2 linked regions of the Lytechinus pictus genome follow. The protein of the gene in region 1 interacts with the protein of each later gene in a biochemical or structural test. Links are inferred from orthologs where the notes say so. Each region holds a gene or a part of one and is shown in the gene's direction. Other genes may lie near its edges.

Region 1 (8,942 bases):
ATGCAAGGGGCCCCAAGAGTGTAACATAAATAGGTACGCATGTGATTTAAAAAAAAAAGACGCAATCTCATTAAATTTGAATTGAGGTCATGTAGGTCATGGGAACTGCCGAGTCTTTCCTATCTAGTATTTGCAATAAACAATTGGAGGTAAAGGTTTCCAACCTAGGACATGTTTCATAACACTTGTTATAATAATAAATTCGCCGTAACAGTTAAAACGCAATGAAATCACTAAATTTTATCGGCTAATAGTAAACTTGTTACAGTACTTGTGCATTTGTTATTTGTGAAGAGCTATGGTGTAGTGGCCGTGACTCTCCCCTCGTAATTAATTTAAGAGGGTCGTGTGTTTGAATCCCACTGCGGCATACATGTAGTACCCTGTGGCAAGGTGTGAATCCACACTTTGCCACTCTCTACCCAGGTGTTAAATAGGTACCCAGTAGGATGTGAATGTCATTGTATCTTGTCCAGCATTGTGTGTGCCTCATGGGCGACTGGCTGGAATACTCCACAGGGAGTGGAGGATGTGCATAATACATGGTGTGCGGAAAATGATTGAATATGATGAATAATAAATCTATAAGTGCTTAGATATGTTCAATGTGCCATATATCTTAGAGCATTTTAAATAACCAGGGGGGTGTTTCACAAGATTTAAGTATGACTTAGGGTCGCACTTCAATGTCTAGTTGTGCGTAGTATAAAAGACATGACAGTATTGATCAGATCATGGCAAGAGGACGCGCACTACTGCGTATTGATCAATGAGATTGCGCGTTGCATATCATGTACGCGTCAGCATTTAAGTGCGACCTAAGTCATAATTAAATCTTTGTGAAGCACCCCCCCCCCCCAGATTATTATAACGAGTCTTTATGTAATAGGACCTTGGGGTGTGTTTCACCATGGACCCTACCACAATTGATACATTTAGATGGTAACATGATATAGTATGTGCTGTACTAGAAAGACATTTATTATAAACTAAAAAATTAAGATTATCATAAACATTTGGTTTCACCTAAATTCACAGTTTTGTATGCCAAATGATACATTATCACATTGATGATATCTTGCTTAAGTGACATGCCCTGCTGATACCAAATGCATACACGTAAGCCTGAATATAATTGTAGTAAAATCCATTCGGCATTTTCTGGAAACCTGCTCGAAATTTGAATTTACAGTGGTGCTATAAAGTTAGTGAACCCACCAGAAAATGCACTCCTTCATGCTGAGTGTTAAATGGAGACAGCAACACCACAATGTTCGGCGAGCACAGAGAAACAAACTTTATTGAATGTAATATTTTATCACCTAACTTCACCATTAAATATATAAAACATGGCAGAACTTGAACACTTGAAATATGTTCATTTTCTGGTTGGGTTCACTAACTTTTTCGCACCACTGTATGTATACTTGTTAATTCAACCAGAACTTTCTCCATATTAATGTTTCAAACCAAATACGAACCAGCAGCCTTGTATAGCACCACCTCAAGTTCTCAACTACTCAAATCTGGCCTGGTTCCTGACCCATAATGCAACATAACAGTGAAGTCTTGTAAAATAGGTCCACTTGAATGCTACCACACCAATATGATACTCAATACATGTATACCACAATAATCAAGTTGCCAAGAAGCGATTAAGTGCGTTACCTTTCCTCTCAAAAAAACTTTCTAAGTTTCTCTACAGAAATAAGATTTAAAGGCCAATTTATGATCTTTATTAATATTATCAACAAAATAAATAAAAATGAATATTTTAAGATTAGCTGTTTATAACACACAGACAATGAGAGACCACAGACATTGTTGGGTCAGTTTGTTCCCCCTTAAAGGGATGGTCCGGGCTGAAAATATTTATATCTTAATACATAGAGTAGAATTCACCGAGCAAAATGCCGAAAATTTCATCAAAATCGGATAACAAATAATAAAGTTATTGAAGTTTAAAGTTTTGCAATATTTTGTGAAAACAGTCGTCATGAATATTCATTAGGTGGGCTGATGATGTCACATCTCCACTTTCCGTTTTCTTATGTTATTACATAAAATCATAATTTTTTCATTATTTCATACTTGTGTGAATAATATGTCTCCCTTATAATGAAATAAGTTGCATCAATAAATATCTAATGCACTAAATCAGTTGTCATTCCAATTTGTCTACTTCTTGGAGGAAAAAAATTGAATAAACCTCATTTCATATAATAAAATACAAAAGAACAAGTGGAGATGTGACATCATCAGCCCACCTAATGAATATTCATGATGACTGTTTTCCCCAAATATTGCTAAACTTTAAAATTCAATTACTTTGTTATTTGTTATCCGATTTTGATGAAATTTTTGGCATTTTGCTCAGTGAATTCTACTCTATTTATTAAGCTATAAATACTTTCAGCCCGGACCATCCCTTTAATTAAACCATGGATGAGAAATAAACTTCTGTCTACTAAGTAAAGTAGACAATGTATGCAAATTGCACATGCATACTTAGAGAACACCTTTGATTAAATGTTCATTTATCTATTTTATTATGTGTTTTTGTATTTATTTAATTAACTCCTTATTTGTTTATTTATATTTATTTATATATTTATTCATTTATTTGTTTATATTTATTCATTTGTATGTTTAAATAGTGATTTTTTTTACAAATAAGCATAAATATATCAGTTTATTTGGATTATGTTTTGTATGTGGTACAAACAACTTAATTTTTGAATTTTTATTTACTTTTTTTTTCTTTTGAAAATGATTTCCCCCCCCCCAGAATTAAGGATATTGAGTCCACAGACAAGGTTTATCTCATGTAATCTTCATCTAGGGCCCATTGCTTTAAAAAAAAAAATTTCTTGTCTGTTTTTTTTTTCTTGATGTATGATACTCCATCCATCGTTCTCCTTACTTTAAAGGAAATTTACCTTGTGAAACTTAGTTGCCATACGTTTCCTGTACAGCTACTTCTCTATGTAAACACGACTACTGTATGTATTCACTCAGATTAAATTAAATATGTTAATATGTTGAGATGATCTCATATGTACAAGATGTGAATGTCTTTGTTGTTGCCTATTTAGCATCCCAGGAATACTTGAAAAATTAATCCCAGTATTTGGTAATGTAGAAGAAGAAGAAAAAAAAACCAGTAGTTTTTAGTAAAAGTTGATTAATTAAGTTAAAAAAGGTTAGATGAAAAATCTGGAGCCAGTGAAGCTTCTTATTGAGTGCAAGATACAAGCTACTGTTGTTGGTTACCTAAACCTTGCTATTTAATCGGCTAAAAGTAATTTGATCATAAAATTTTTGTTTTTTATATATTTTTTTGAAATCTGGCCCATGTTTTTTATTAGAAATTCTTTGCTTCACTAACGGTCACATTAACTAATTTCCACTTGGCCTAGCCCCATCTAGTGTTTATAGATGAACTTTTCATGAACTTTTTTTCATTTGACTAAGTGGCAAATAACTGTTAGGCCAAGGATTGTATAGAACAATATTGATAGTAGAAAGTAGGTTTGACCAAAATGGTATTAGATTAAGTGAATATAAACCAAATATACACACAAAATAATACAGAAACCCTGGTGTCAAGAATCAGCCAAGACACATCAATGCCTTAAGTATCAAGGGGGAGGGGTGAGTCCCTTTACCCCCCCCCCTCCCACAGTAAAACAGAGAGTGGGGAAAGTGAAAGAGATAACAGGAAAGAGGGAGAGATAAATTATTGATGAGGGGAAGGGCTGTAGCGAACGGCCCTGCAACCCCTTTACCCAATTAAAAAAAAAAAGAGGCGAATGGGGAGGGAGGATTAAAATCTGGGGTCAGAATGGCCTTGTTCCTAAACAAGAAAGATAGTAAGAGGGAGAAAGAGAAAACGAAATAAAGAAATTTAAAAAAAAAAATCAAAAATGTGCCGAACGGTAAGTGTGATAGGAAAGTAGAACAGTTGAAACTTTTTTCTCGCAAAATGAGAGAATGGAAGCCATTGCCTCCTGTTATAACATATAAGTAGAGAATTAGAAGGAAAGGAAGGAGAAGGGGTGGAAAAAAGACGAATGAATAGAGAGGGAGAAAATGAGGCCGGGATCGACACTATCCTTCACTCTCAAACCGCATTCAAAAAAGGACAAAGAATGAAAAGGGAAAAAATTAAAGGGGGAGGCCTGTGGACAAAATGCGCACTGCATATCTTCCCCTCAACTGGGCCAAAACGGAGGTAAAAGGGTAAAGGAGACAAAAAAGAAGAAGAAGAAGCAGTCCGAAGCGCGATCGTTTTTTTTTTAATGGTGTCAAGGTTTGCTATTTGCCAAATCTTGCCCTCTCATACCCCCTTTTTATCCTTTATTCCTCTTCTTTTCATTATCCTTCCCTTACTTTTCGTTCCTCCACCCTTGGTCTTCTTCTTTTCCTTTTCTCCCTTTGTTTTCGCTGCCAGTATGGGGCAGTGGTTGCTTCAGCCCCCGGGTCCACCTACAGCTCTCTATTTCCCTCGTCAATCTATTTAATTTTGTAAAAGAGGCCGCTAGGGCTTTAAAAGTCCTAGATTCACATTTTTTCAGTAAAAAAATTACTTTTAGTTACGTTCCTGTACTCAATTGTTTGTTTTGTGTTTTTCCTTTTCTATCTTCGTTATTTCTTTAATGCTGCAAGGTCTTTTCGGCACGGCCTCTTTTTCCCCATCTTCACTTTCACTTCCTCCTTTCCTTTCCCAAATTCTCATCCACTTCTTCTTACCCTTCTCTCCTTTTTTTTTTCGGGGGGGGGGGGTGAGGCCCCTTTCCATTTTTTTCTTTCTCTCATTCCTCTCCCCCCATTCTTTTTCATTCCCTTCTCTCCCTCCCTTCTTTCGCCTTTCTCCTTACTTTTCTCCCCTCCTTTCCCTTCCCCCTTTTTTCGGGGGGGGGGGGGGGCCCAATCGGCCCCATGAAGGTTATGAAAGGGCAAGGAGGTGGATGGATGGGAGTAATCACAATCGAAGTTTGTCAAAAGATATATAAAACTTTCTTTTAGTGACAGACAAACATCACATGATATCAAACTAGGTAAATGAAAATGACGCAAAGTGATAGTTAATTGTTTTATCACAATAACAGTATTTAATGCGGTAAGCAAAAATATATTGTGCAATCCCGGTGTGCAATTTATTGGTAAGTGGTAAATAGCCGACATAATTATTTGCCTGGTCGCCTACTAAACCTTGCTATAAAACTTTCTTCAAGGAAATGTCCTGCCTTTTCCTTATTCTGGTTTCTTCTTCTTCCTTTTCATATTCCTCTTCATCTTTTCTCCTTTTCTTGTTCCTCAATCCCTTTTCCTTTCCCCTCCCAGGGCCCTGGCAACTTTTTTTGGGGGTGGGGTGCTGAAGTAAATTTGAAAAGAAACAAAAAAAGGGGGTTCACTTTAAATTGAAGGTCGTTTTGGTACCAAAACATTTGACAAGCAAAAAACAATCAAAAGGGTTTCAACACAAAATGTTGGTCATTTTACATACATTTGTCCAATTTTACACACCTACCAGAATTCCAGGGGGTGCTGCCTAATGAAAATAATACATGCAGCATCCCTTGGGGAAAATCTTGGGGGTGCACCCCCGCTTCCCAGGGCCATACCCCCTCCCCTCTATCATCCGAAATCTCAGATCAACAAACTCGTAGAACTGACCGCATTGAGCTCCCTCTTTAGTTCAACCAAGAGTAAGACGGAAGTAAGACTTGATAAACAATATATACGGCCAGACAGTACACAGTACAGGCTGGGCCAGCGCCACACAATTGTATACGAATAGGACTAAGTGAGACTCTGCAGTATCACCGTCATACAACTTTAGGAAATAGTGTTGAACTTGATTATTCTAATGTTTCAGGCCAACAGTAAGTTATATGGTAAGGCATTTTGTATTTTTTATCGTTTCTGATATTAAAGAAACTGCAGTATTTACAAATCCAGCGCAAGAAAAGTAAAATAATCCGATGTGATTAATTGATGAAGTGAACGTGTGTGTTTCATGATTTGTGAATAAGTTACCTCGAGCGAAGTTCGTGCAGGCTCCACTCCACTTCACTACCGCTACACTACACTCCACCTACCCGAACTTCGAGACAGTGAACTCGATCGGACATTCTGAGTCACAAAGGTGGGATGGAAATCATGTTTATTGTAAAAATTAAAGAAAAATAATATAACGAGAAAGATAAACAACTTAATATCTTACTCTTCATCCATATTTCACTCCGTGTCCATCCTCCGATTATCCTCAAAATTGGTGATTTTTGGGCCAGTATCTTTTTCCTCACACGTATTATTCACGGCTGATTTCAAAACATTGCATGCGATCGAGATCGGTTTGACCTGCAACCGATCGCGATCGCATGCGATGTTTTGAAATCAGCCGTGAATAATACGAAAAAAATTCTCACACAAGTCACAGTTCACATAATATTAATTAGAATCTAAACAAATTGCTTACCCTGAAAAATACCTGAATCTGCTTGGTCTCCAAAAGAGAATTCTTGAGATATTATGCATGAAAAGACCACAGCATATAATTTAAAGTGAAGTAAGTCCCTGCTTAAATTTTCTTTAAAGTTAATGTATAAATTGGGCCAGCATGATATTTATATTAAGGCAATTGACATCATCTTGGCACAGTTTCTATTCAAAATTTTAGGTTAGATAAAGAAAAATTATAAAACCTTGTTGGAGGGAATAAAACAATAGACTACGGGGACTAGTTCCTCACACTGCATGCATGATGGCTATCCTGTGTAGCCTGTAGGGGGAGAAAGTAAAAAAGTAAAAGAAAAAAAAGATTAGAAAATCCAAACAGACGGATTTCAGCTGTCTCTAAATAATATTAGTTTGCTTTTGTTAAGTTAGAGTCACTCCCTTGCCTTACTTATTTCAATAGTATGCATTGCAACTGTGCAAAGGCTTAATTGAGTAGTTACAAGACTTGGTATTCTGAAAAGTCTCATAACTGCATACCACTCAATTGGTGGATTTTCCATTAGGAAAAATAATGTTGATTAAGCTTAAAGGTCCATTAAATGTAACTTAAGACTAGTGTGACTTTAAATCTTAGTGAAACACTGGTCTAATTATTTTGCACATAGTCCTAAAGGGTTCAGAAAAAACTTCTCCATTCTCTTGTTCTTTGTAGATTGTTTGTGGAGCTTGGGAATCTTAATCAGCCATTGCTGCTGTGACGGGTGAGCACGACAGAGGATCCTTGAGGGGTCATTGGTGTTGACTGCTGGGAGATGGCGGTGATACAGAACGGCACCATGGAGCTAACCGAACAGGACATACACAGCATGCAGCACAACCTGGCCCTTGGTACGCTCTTGACCCGCTTTTATGGCCGCAAGAGACCCGAGCGTAAATCTTTTGAGGTCAATATGGAGACCAGGCAGGTTGTATGGAGGAGGCAGGGAGGACGAACTGAAGGAGCAAGTGAGTCAACTAAATTAATTTTGATATTTCATAGATAGAATCTATAGAATCATAAAGCTATTCTTAAAGGAGAATGAAACCTTTGGAACAAGATAGCTTGTGTGAAAACAGAAAAATAAAAGAAAACGATCAATCAAAGTTTGAGAAAATCGGACAAATAATGAGAAAGTTATGAGCATTTGAATATTGCGATCACTAATACTATGGAGATCCTCACATTGGCAATGCGACAAATATGTGTGATGTCACTTGTGAACAACTCTCCTCATTACTTTAGTATATATTTCACTTAAACTGCATCTTTTATTACATCTATCAGGAGATCAATTTTTTTTCTATAGGAGGGCATGTAATACAGATTTTTAAAGAATACATCATGGATAAAGAGTTTGTATCATTTTGGGGGTATTTCATAGTCCATCAAAGGGAAATTTGTTCACATGTGACATCACACATCCTTGTTGCATTGCCAATGGGAGGATCTCCATAGCATTAGTGATTGCAATATTCAAATGCTCATAACTTTCTCATTATTTGTCCGATTTTTCTCAAACTTTCTTTGTTCTTACTCTTTGATTTTCTGTTTCGACATAAGCTTACTTGTTCCAAAGGTTTCATTCCCCTTTTAGTTAAAAGCGACTTTACAAATGACTGGTGACCCTATCGTTGGAACGAAATCAAGACCAATGAAAATCTGGTATATTTCATTTACCACAAGAAAGGATAACTAGTCATTTGCAAAGTGGCCCGTAACTTATAAACAGCTTTATAAAACCCTTACCGGGCTTACTGGGCGTTGTGGCGTGCGCCTGTAATCCAAGCTGTGGGGAAGTTACAAATTGATGCAGAGGTTCGAGGTTCATGCCCTGGTCACGTCTTTCGGACAGTGACATTAAAGGTCGGTCCCAGACGTAAATAATCATATCTGATTGATACACGTCTGACAAAACTCAAATACACACACTCCGGGCTTATTGATAAAAAAACAAAACATCGCAGCATAGTCAAATTGGGAGGAGTTTACACTCCCAATTTCAAAGTTCAAAAATATAACACTACACAAGGAAATATAAGTTGAAAAGTAAATTGTATATCGTATGTTAAAAACTCTATAATAGATTAGCATTCTATTATAATAATATAAAGAACACAAATTTTGAAGCTTTGATTTGAAATTCATTGTTTTTATATCATGTCAAGAAAAACAAAAGAAGAATACACTGTGAACAGGGGTGGGAAGGGGAGAAATGAGAAGAGGAGAAGGAAGAAGAACAACAAAGAGAGAAAGGAGAAGAGGAACAAAAAGAAAGAGGGAAAATGGATGAAGGAGAAAAGAAAAAGAAATTGAATATGAATTATACAAGCTGAAGTACACATAATTTTAGCAAATAAGATATGATCCATATATTCTGACACTAGCATTTTCTATGATGTTGGATTATGGACCGTGAAACAGCTATTGTTTGATTACC
Region 2 (8,029 bases), on another chromosome or scaffold:
GTGATAACTAAACAAAAATTGACCCCAAAACTGATTAAAACTAAATATTGACTTCCATGAAAAAAGCCATATATGAGATCATCTGGTAAATTCTAATAATTGTTTCTAGTGACTTTTAGTGAAGCAATTCATATGGTCATGTATTGGACAATGCTTTACCATGGGCATCTATGCCTTCAGTTCCCTTTACAATTGTTCAGTATACAGGCCTAAAGAGAACTGATGCGAGTTACTTTTTAACCTCACCATCATACTCAACTTTGTGTGTATATATTGTTGAAATGAATAACACTATTTATTTTGAAGCTAATAATTTAACAAATTATAATATGAAGTTGTTTTCATCCATATTATTTTAAAGATAAATACCAGTTGTGGTAACGATCTCAAAATGAGTTCGAACAGAATCCAATAAAATTACCACCCAAGTTTTTGTATGTAATAAATAAAAAATATGTGCCAAATAGCTCTCTGGAAGAAAATGCGTAATTACTGAGAAATGAGCAAAATAAGTATGGAATTCCATCAAATGTTTGGTATTTTCCCAAGCAATATTAATACACTGTCCCACACATGCTATTTCTGTGTTGATGAGCATCAGAATTGTCAGTTTTGAGCTAAGATTTCATGATTTCACAAAGATAGGTTTAGATTGATGTACCAGATCTAGATATATGATAATATAGTGACAGTTAACCTTGATTTAAAAAACTTTCTCATGAAATAATTGTTTACTGCAACTACTTTCCTTTTCCTTAAAATGCAGTTAATCAGATTCAAGAATGTTTGATTGGTTACAGGGATGTAGCAGACTGGCATTGGCTGGCTAGGGTCTACATTGTGATTGCCACCTGTACAAGAGCATAAGGTTTCTAAAACCAGAAAGAGTTTTATCAGAGAGAGAGGCGACCACACTATGGCTTGGAAAACGGGTAGGGAGTCGATGATCAGCATCAACTTCCCAACAAGCCTTCACCTACAACCCCTCCAGAGAACGACATCAGAATCGTGTCTACACTCCAGGGAAGGTCTTGAAAACATCAGTAAGTAGATGTCATTAATTTGAATTTAGAGTGTTTTCAAGCAAATTCCTGTGTATTATATTTACATATACATAAAAGTGTGCCCTTACTATGACATCACTCATTTGTGTTTAATATTCTTGAGTGATTAGTTAAGCACAGTGTACTCAAAACCATGCATTAATCACATTGTTCCTCTCTTTCAAAATGATTACAAACTTCATTTACTGTCCCTTTCACGAGGTAAAAAAATTGTAATTTGAATGATGATTCCAGTGAAAAATCAAGCTAATGACGAATTTTTAGCACGTGTAAAACCAAACTAAAATCACGAACGCTATTAATCACAATCATGAATTCAAATTGGTGAATTGTGAATTCCAGTTAAGTTTCACTCAAATTATGGTACAAATTGTATGTGTGAAAGGTCCAATGATTCTAAAGACAAACTGCAGTCATCATTACTATGATGAATCAAGATTCACGTGTGAAAAGGCCCTTGGATACTACAGTTGAACCTGATTCTTCCGTGCTTCAGAATTATTAATTCAGTTAAATATTAATGTAATTTTTCAATTCTCACTCACTGTCCATGCAATCTTGTAGGTTTATTTCCAATTCGTCCAATTGCCAACTCGTCTTCTATCATTTGGTCTACCATCAGTTTGTCCACTCACCACATGGTCTACTTTCATTTAGTCTAATGCCAATCCGTCTAATAACCAGTTGGTCCAATAGCCATTTAGTCCATATACCATTTGGTCTAATTGGACTAGAGTGTTGATTGTGCAATATGAATGAAAATGAAATTAGACCAACTGGTTATTAGACAAAATGGTCGTGGACGAAATGGTGATTAGACAAAGTGGTGATTGGACCAAATGGTTGTTAGAAAAATGTTGGTGGACGGAATGGCATGAGACTAAATGAAAGTAGACCGTGTGGTGAGTGGACGAGTTGGTAGTAGAAGAATGGGCAATTTACCATCTTAATGTCTAAGGAAAAAGCGTTCGACCCCATAGCCATGATCATTGGTGGCACATGAAATTTTGAAATGCACAAATGAAAGAATCATGATTCAAGATTCAAAGCAATATTTTGCTATCATCCAGGAGCTCATTCTTGCAATTTTAGTCAAGTTCTGCTGAATTCTATATTAGGTTTTTGCAAAAAGTAGTGCAAAAATTGACCTTGTGAATATGTATCAACTTCTGAGCACATGTTCCAAGTTGTATTATAGAAGCCTTCTTTGACGTCATTATGAGCATGATTGATTGATTGATTGAGCAAAATCCTAATATGAACAATAATTGATAAGATAAACAAAAACAAATTTTAATCTTCTGATCCTTTCATAAAAGTCTTTTTGCTACAGATCAACAGGAAAAATATGTCTAATTCAACCCATATACCCAAAGATTAAAGCAATACAAACCAGCAGCTTTGTATAGCACCGACTCAAGTCCCCTACTACTCGATACTGGCCATGTTTCTTACCCATAATGCAACATTCTAAGCAGTGCAGTCTTCTTCCCAAATTATTTCCTATTTGGAGACATTCAAAAGTCAAACCATTGCGAATGAAATACATGAAGAGATTTCACACACAGGAATTGCAATAAATTAATTCTTGATATATCAGTCAAAAGTCTTTATTTTATTTACTCTTAAATGTATTATAATCATAACAATAGTAATAGTCATTTATGTAGTGCTATCAATCTAGAAATAATCTTTTTGATGGGCACTATTATCATTACCCTGGAGTATAAGCTCAAGTTGCTGTTTGTAGCACATGTGTATTCAAGGAATCAATCCTGCCAGGTCCCCATTTACCTCACATGGATGCAGCATAATGTGGGTAAATTTCTTTTTTGAAAGAAAACACATCATGGCATGAATTTGATTTTGAACCCACAAACCTTGCATTGAAAGACAAGAGTTAGAACCACTAGACCATGATGCCCTGCCTCCCTCCTAGTTATTTTGATAACTGGCACCGCCCTTTTTAAATATTTGAGCTATAGGGCCAAATTTTAGCAAAATTTACCCATCAGATTCCCACAAAGGAATTTGGTTCCATTCAGTCATACATGTAGGTGATTTCACACCTCCATGACAAGAAAAATACCTGATATCTTGTCAGAGTGAACAACGCTACTTGTACCTGTAGATAATAGATAAATTAGTACATGTATACAGTACCTCTTAAAAAATGAAAATTTTCTCCAAGTTAGCAGTGACAATTTTAAGGTCTAATTCTCAGAATATTTATAGGAAGAATGCACTTTCTTACACACAAATACACATTCCTTGATGTAGTTCCATGAATTGTGAAAACGTCTGGGGTGTGAATCTGTGAAATATATTGTTAAAGCAAAATTTGGGGCGTCAAAGATCTTGTAATGTATTTTCCAGATTGGGAAGGTGTGAAAGTTCTTTATATCTTTTATAATTCGTTCACATACACAATTTAAAACACTGAAATGGTAATGCTAATTTCTATATGTATAAAGAAAAATTATACATCTTCATTTACTGAAACATATTGGAAAGCTGTAAAAAATGCTACAATATACATAGCCATATTCTAAATCAAATTACATGTAGATACCAAATGAATGAGCTATTCCAAAATAATTTAGATTTATTGAAAAATACTAAGCTTTTTTTTGCTTGTCAAATTTTCCTCTGGAAATGTGTCCCCCCCCCCCCCCCCTTTGGCAAATCCTGGATCCGTCCCTGACTGGGATTTTGTATTTTTTCCCAAAACTCATTATGAAGTAAGCCAAATAGCTTTTCCAAAACTTTAATATTGAACACTGACTATAAACATGATACATGATGGAAAGTTATTTAAAAAAAAACACAATAACTAATAATTTGAGCATCAGTCAGTTCAAACTAGAACTTGTCAAAGAAAATGAATGCTCTGATCAATCTTAAATTTATTTGTATTTGACATTGCTTTATTTGAGTTTCGAGATTTTTATCTTAACAGGCTATTATAGAAGCCATAGTTCATGTTTGTACACATAACTATCTTTAAGTTTTAAAAATCATTTTTGCATGTACTGTATATGTAGACTTGATCATAAATTATCGGCCTTTAACTTTACATACATGTACAGGTTGTATGTACAAGTAAAAGATAAAAATTGAATTAGATTTCACTTAGTTTCTATGATGCTAATTAAAGCACTTGTGGTTTTTATGCAGCTCAAATTGTATGTGAGAGATTTTTGTCTCATTTTACAGTTTCATCTTTTGCTTTTTAAGTCATTGCCTCCTGGAAACGGATGGTTGCTGTTCAAAGCATATGGTAATCACAGAATTGTGAAGTCAGTGTGTTAATGAAGATCAATGCACAGAGCTATACTTTCAGTGTTGGGGTCTTCTGTATGCCTGTATCTCAGTTTCTTCCAATTCACATATCATTAATGAGTAATTCTTGATTGGAAAACACTTGACCATATCCTGAATTTGTGACTAATGTATGTCTAATCAAAGTTTTAACGACCTTAATAATATCTAATTCAAAAGATATCAGTGAGGAGGAAGAAAATGATCGCTGGGTTGTTGAAATACAGTATGTAGGTGGGGTTTTCCCACTAGGACAGGTCTCATAAAACCTTGGACCTTGATATCACGATGAAATTTTGAACTGTACTTCCTGTGTATAAATTGGCATTCCTTTTCCATTATACATGCATGCAGCTGGATTATTTTATTCAATGTTCCTGGAGGTGTATTATCTATTAATATTGTATCCCGGTAGTTTATACATGGATGAGTGCAAGTTCATGGAGACCACATGGAAGTAGGGTGATATATCTGTATATCGCCTGTAAAGCAAAGTACCTGTTGAATAGTTTGATATATATTACAAATGGGATGTATTCAAATTTGATTTTTTTGTGAGGAATCGACCTGTGGAAATTCCTTTGTATGGGGATTTTATCTTCTCCCAGTTCATCATGCACCAGAGATGATCTGAGATTGATTGCTGTTAGAACATGTGAAGTTTCATGTGGCAGCTGAAAGAGGCGTAAAAGGTGACACGGGACCTTCCATCGTATCAGGGGTCACAACCGGGTGTTTGCTGGTTTTGATAATTGCTTCAGGTTCACAGTTGATCTGTGTACTGCCGTATGAAGAGGTTAGCACGTTTATGGATATCCTTCTTCTGAGCAATTAGACTGGTTTTGAATACTATGATGGACAATTTTGTTGGATTTTAGTATCTAAGAGTAAGAACAATCTCTGCTCTTACATGTAGATGGAACTTTCTACTCCCTGTAAAACTCATGTTTTGTGTACATTGAAGAAACAGATCAGCTAGTGAACTATTATAGAACAAAATCACTTAGATGTCTCATCAACTTATGTCAAGTGCATCGAGAACAAAGTACTGTCTGTTGTCATGTGACATCATCAGTTTTGCTAATTTCGATCAAGTGATTGACATTTTTTTTCCAACATTGCAAGTTTCAATTCACCTGACTTTATAATAACCAAGATTGGATACTTATTGCGCGATATAATCTCAACTACATGTACTGTAGGAACTGATACCTCTGTATCCAAAGTCCTCCATGGTCTATACTGAAGAGCAAAGACCCTCTAAAAGGCTCTCCAAAGCTTGATAATTTTTAAAACATTTAATATCTCCACAAGTTCTTGAGGATCACATATTTTGCAAGCGGAAGCGAGGATGCATGGAGGTTGGTTTTGTTCTGACTAATAATGGAACTGTTAGATAAATGAAGTGATTTTGTGATGGATCATATTGTCATGTCTTCCTGTCTGCCATGAACCTGGATGGCTGAAGACGGAAAATGGAGCAAGGTTATTATTTAGATCTAGATCCCGATCAAGGGGACGACGTGGAAGATGAACCAAAGTGCGATCCACCCTACGTGAATGCGGAGATCCAAGGATCATCAACGATGGATATACTCAAGAGAACAAGTATGACGCAGTAGTAATATTAGTTTAATAGTAGTAGAAGTAGTAGTAGTAGTAGTAGAAGTAGTAGTAGAAACCTATCTAGTTGTATAAAGTAGATTAAGTAGAGGTAGTGGTAGTGGTAGTAGCAGTAGTAAGTCAAAAAGTGGAAGAAGAAAAGAGTAGTAGAAGAAGAAGTGGTGGTGGTGATACTTGTAGTCACATGTGTAAATACATGATGTACATGATGTCATACTATTCAAGGGGGGGTCAACTATTGTGTCACCCCCCCCCCCCCAGCCCTGAAGAATAGGTTTGCTGCTTGATTATGCCAGTGCTTGTAATGAAGGTGGTGGTATAGTAATGGTTGTAGTATAAGTATTAGTAGAAGTACTAGTAGTAAATATTAGTCCTAGTAGTAGTAATAAAGGTGGTAGGAGTAGTAGATGATCAGACATAGTGGTATAAGAAATAGTCATTATAATAATAATAGGAAGAAGTACGTAGCAGTAGAAGTAGTGCCGTGGTAGCAACAGTGTGTAGAAGAGGCTGGGGGGTGAAGAAGGAGGAGAAGACAAAGGAGGAAGAGGAGAAGAAGAAGTGCAAGAGGAAGAAGACAAAGGAGGAGAAGAAGGAGAAGGTCTAAGCAGAAAGGAGATGAAGGAGGAGGAGGAGAAGAAGAAGGAGGAGGAAATGTAGAAGATAAAGGGAAAGAACAAGGCAGTGGGGGCTGATTAGGAGGAGTATGAGGATTGGGAGTAGAAAAAATAAAAAATTATTAAGAAGAAGCCTAGCAGGGAAAGAGGAAGACAGTAAGGGGTTTGGAGTGGCAGAAGTAATTGTAGAAGTAATAGGCTTTATTGGATAATATTTAGCACAGGCATAGTGGCATACATATATTAAAGACAGAAGCTATCAAGCTTGGTAGAAACCATCAGATCGATTGATCATCCCAACAAACCATACCTGCCACATGGTCCAAAGGGCAATGGCTTTGTTTAATACTGTGCTGTAATTCATTTAATCAATAGATAATCAGACAATTTTGAACTTGCTCTCATGTTTATTTTGTTTCTAAAAGCCATCTTTGTTTTGATTACCAGTGCAAACATTGGGATACACGTAATTTGGCGTGACTCAGATCAATAGTAATTTGTATTTCAAATGACAAGTTTTGAAGAGGTAGTATATGGCGTATGGGGGCTATTTCTAAATACTCTAACCTTTTGAAAATGAGAATCTAATTTTGTGACAGATTGTAACATAAATTCCAGTTAAGGATTTCATAGTTGACAATTTTCTCTTTCATTTCCTTTTTTTTCCTTGTTTCCCTTTATTTTATTTCATTTATTTCTTTTTCTCAGTCATAGAACTTTTGAAGGGATAGGGCAAGTGCCCCAAGCCCTCAACCATCTGTACACCAGTAGATGTGGGTATAGTCAATTTACATGTACAGTGTAGATCCTATTCATGTGCAACTTGATTGTATCATAGCACTGAAGGATGCCAATTTATAGCTACTTAATTATTGTTGAGATAAAAAGCCACAACTCTAATTAAAGCAATGAATATGAGACCAATATTAGTTTAGATATTCTTTTTATTTCCTGAAATCAAACAGTGCACCAACGTTTGGTAAAAGAGGAGAACATTTTTCTTCTCAATTTTTCTTCATCTTTTGATTCAGCTATCCTCTGCAAAAATGAGCAATTTAAGGCAAAAGTCTTATAGCCTAACATTTTGACTTTCAACATCCAAGCTACAAGGTCCGACTGTCGACTGTGATGTTATAAAAATGAAGCCCCCAAAAAAATCTTAGTGGAAAAAAGTGAAATATATAACTGACTGAATACACCATCTTAATTTCATCCCATACACGAACATACTATTAATCTCCAAAGAGGAGGTTTGGTGAAATTTATGATTTTTCAGTCACAGATATCTTGAAAGAGTCTGCTCAAATTTGATTTTTTTTTTCTTCCTGGGTGATTTTTACACCCATATGAGCAGTATCGTAACATGAATCAAATTCAAATTTGTTTAAATACGACCTACATGCC

What was found.
Region 2: the proteins of 1-phosphatidylinositol 4,5-bisphosphate phosphodiesterase gamma-1-like (region 1) and SH3 domain-binding protein 2-like form a complex in vitro, tested with the Homo sapiens proteins (2 studies listed by BioGRID, with this or other methods). The link is inferred for Lytechinus pictus from reciprocal best matches to the Homo sapiens genes PLCG1 and SH3BP2.

Annotation. Positions count from the first base shown.
Region 1 is NC_087246.1:61,770,164-61,779,105, reverse strand, and holds the start of 1-phosphatidylinositol 4,5-bisphosphate phosphodiesterase gamma-1-like, read left to right. Parts: upstream 1-5,698; 5' UTR 5,699-5,888; exon of another isoform or gene 5,889-5,900; intron 5,901-7,177; 5' UTR 7,178-7,277; coding exon 7,278-7,470; intron 7,471-8,942. UniProt on the Homo sapiens protein: Mediates the production of the second messenger molecules diacylglycerol (DAG) and inositol 1,4,5-trisphosphate (IP3). Plays an important role in the regulation of intracellular signaling cascades.
Region 2 is NC_087256.1:8,752,187-8,760,215, reverse strand, and holds the start of SH3 domain-binding protein 2-like, read left to right. Parts: upstream 1-4,688; 5' UTR 4,689-5,860; coding exon 5,861-5,993; intron 5,994-8,029. UniProt on the Homo sapiens protein: Binds differentially to the SH3 domains of certain proteins of signal transduction pathways. Binds to phosphatidylinositols; linking the hemopoietic tyrosine kinase fes to the cytoplasmic membrane in a phosphorylation dependent mechanism.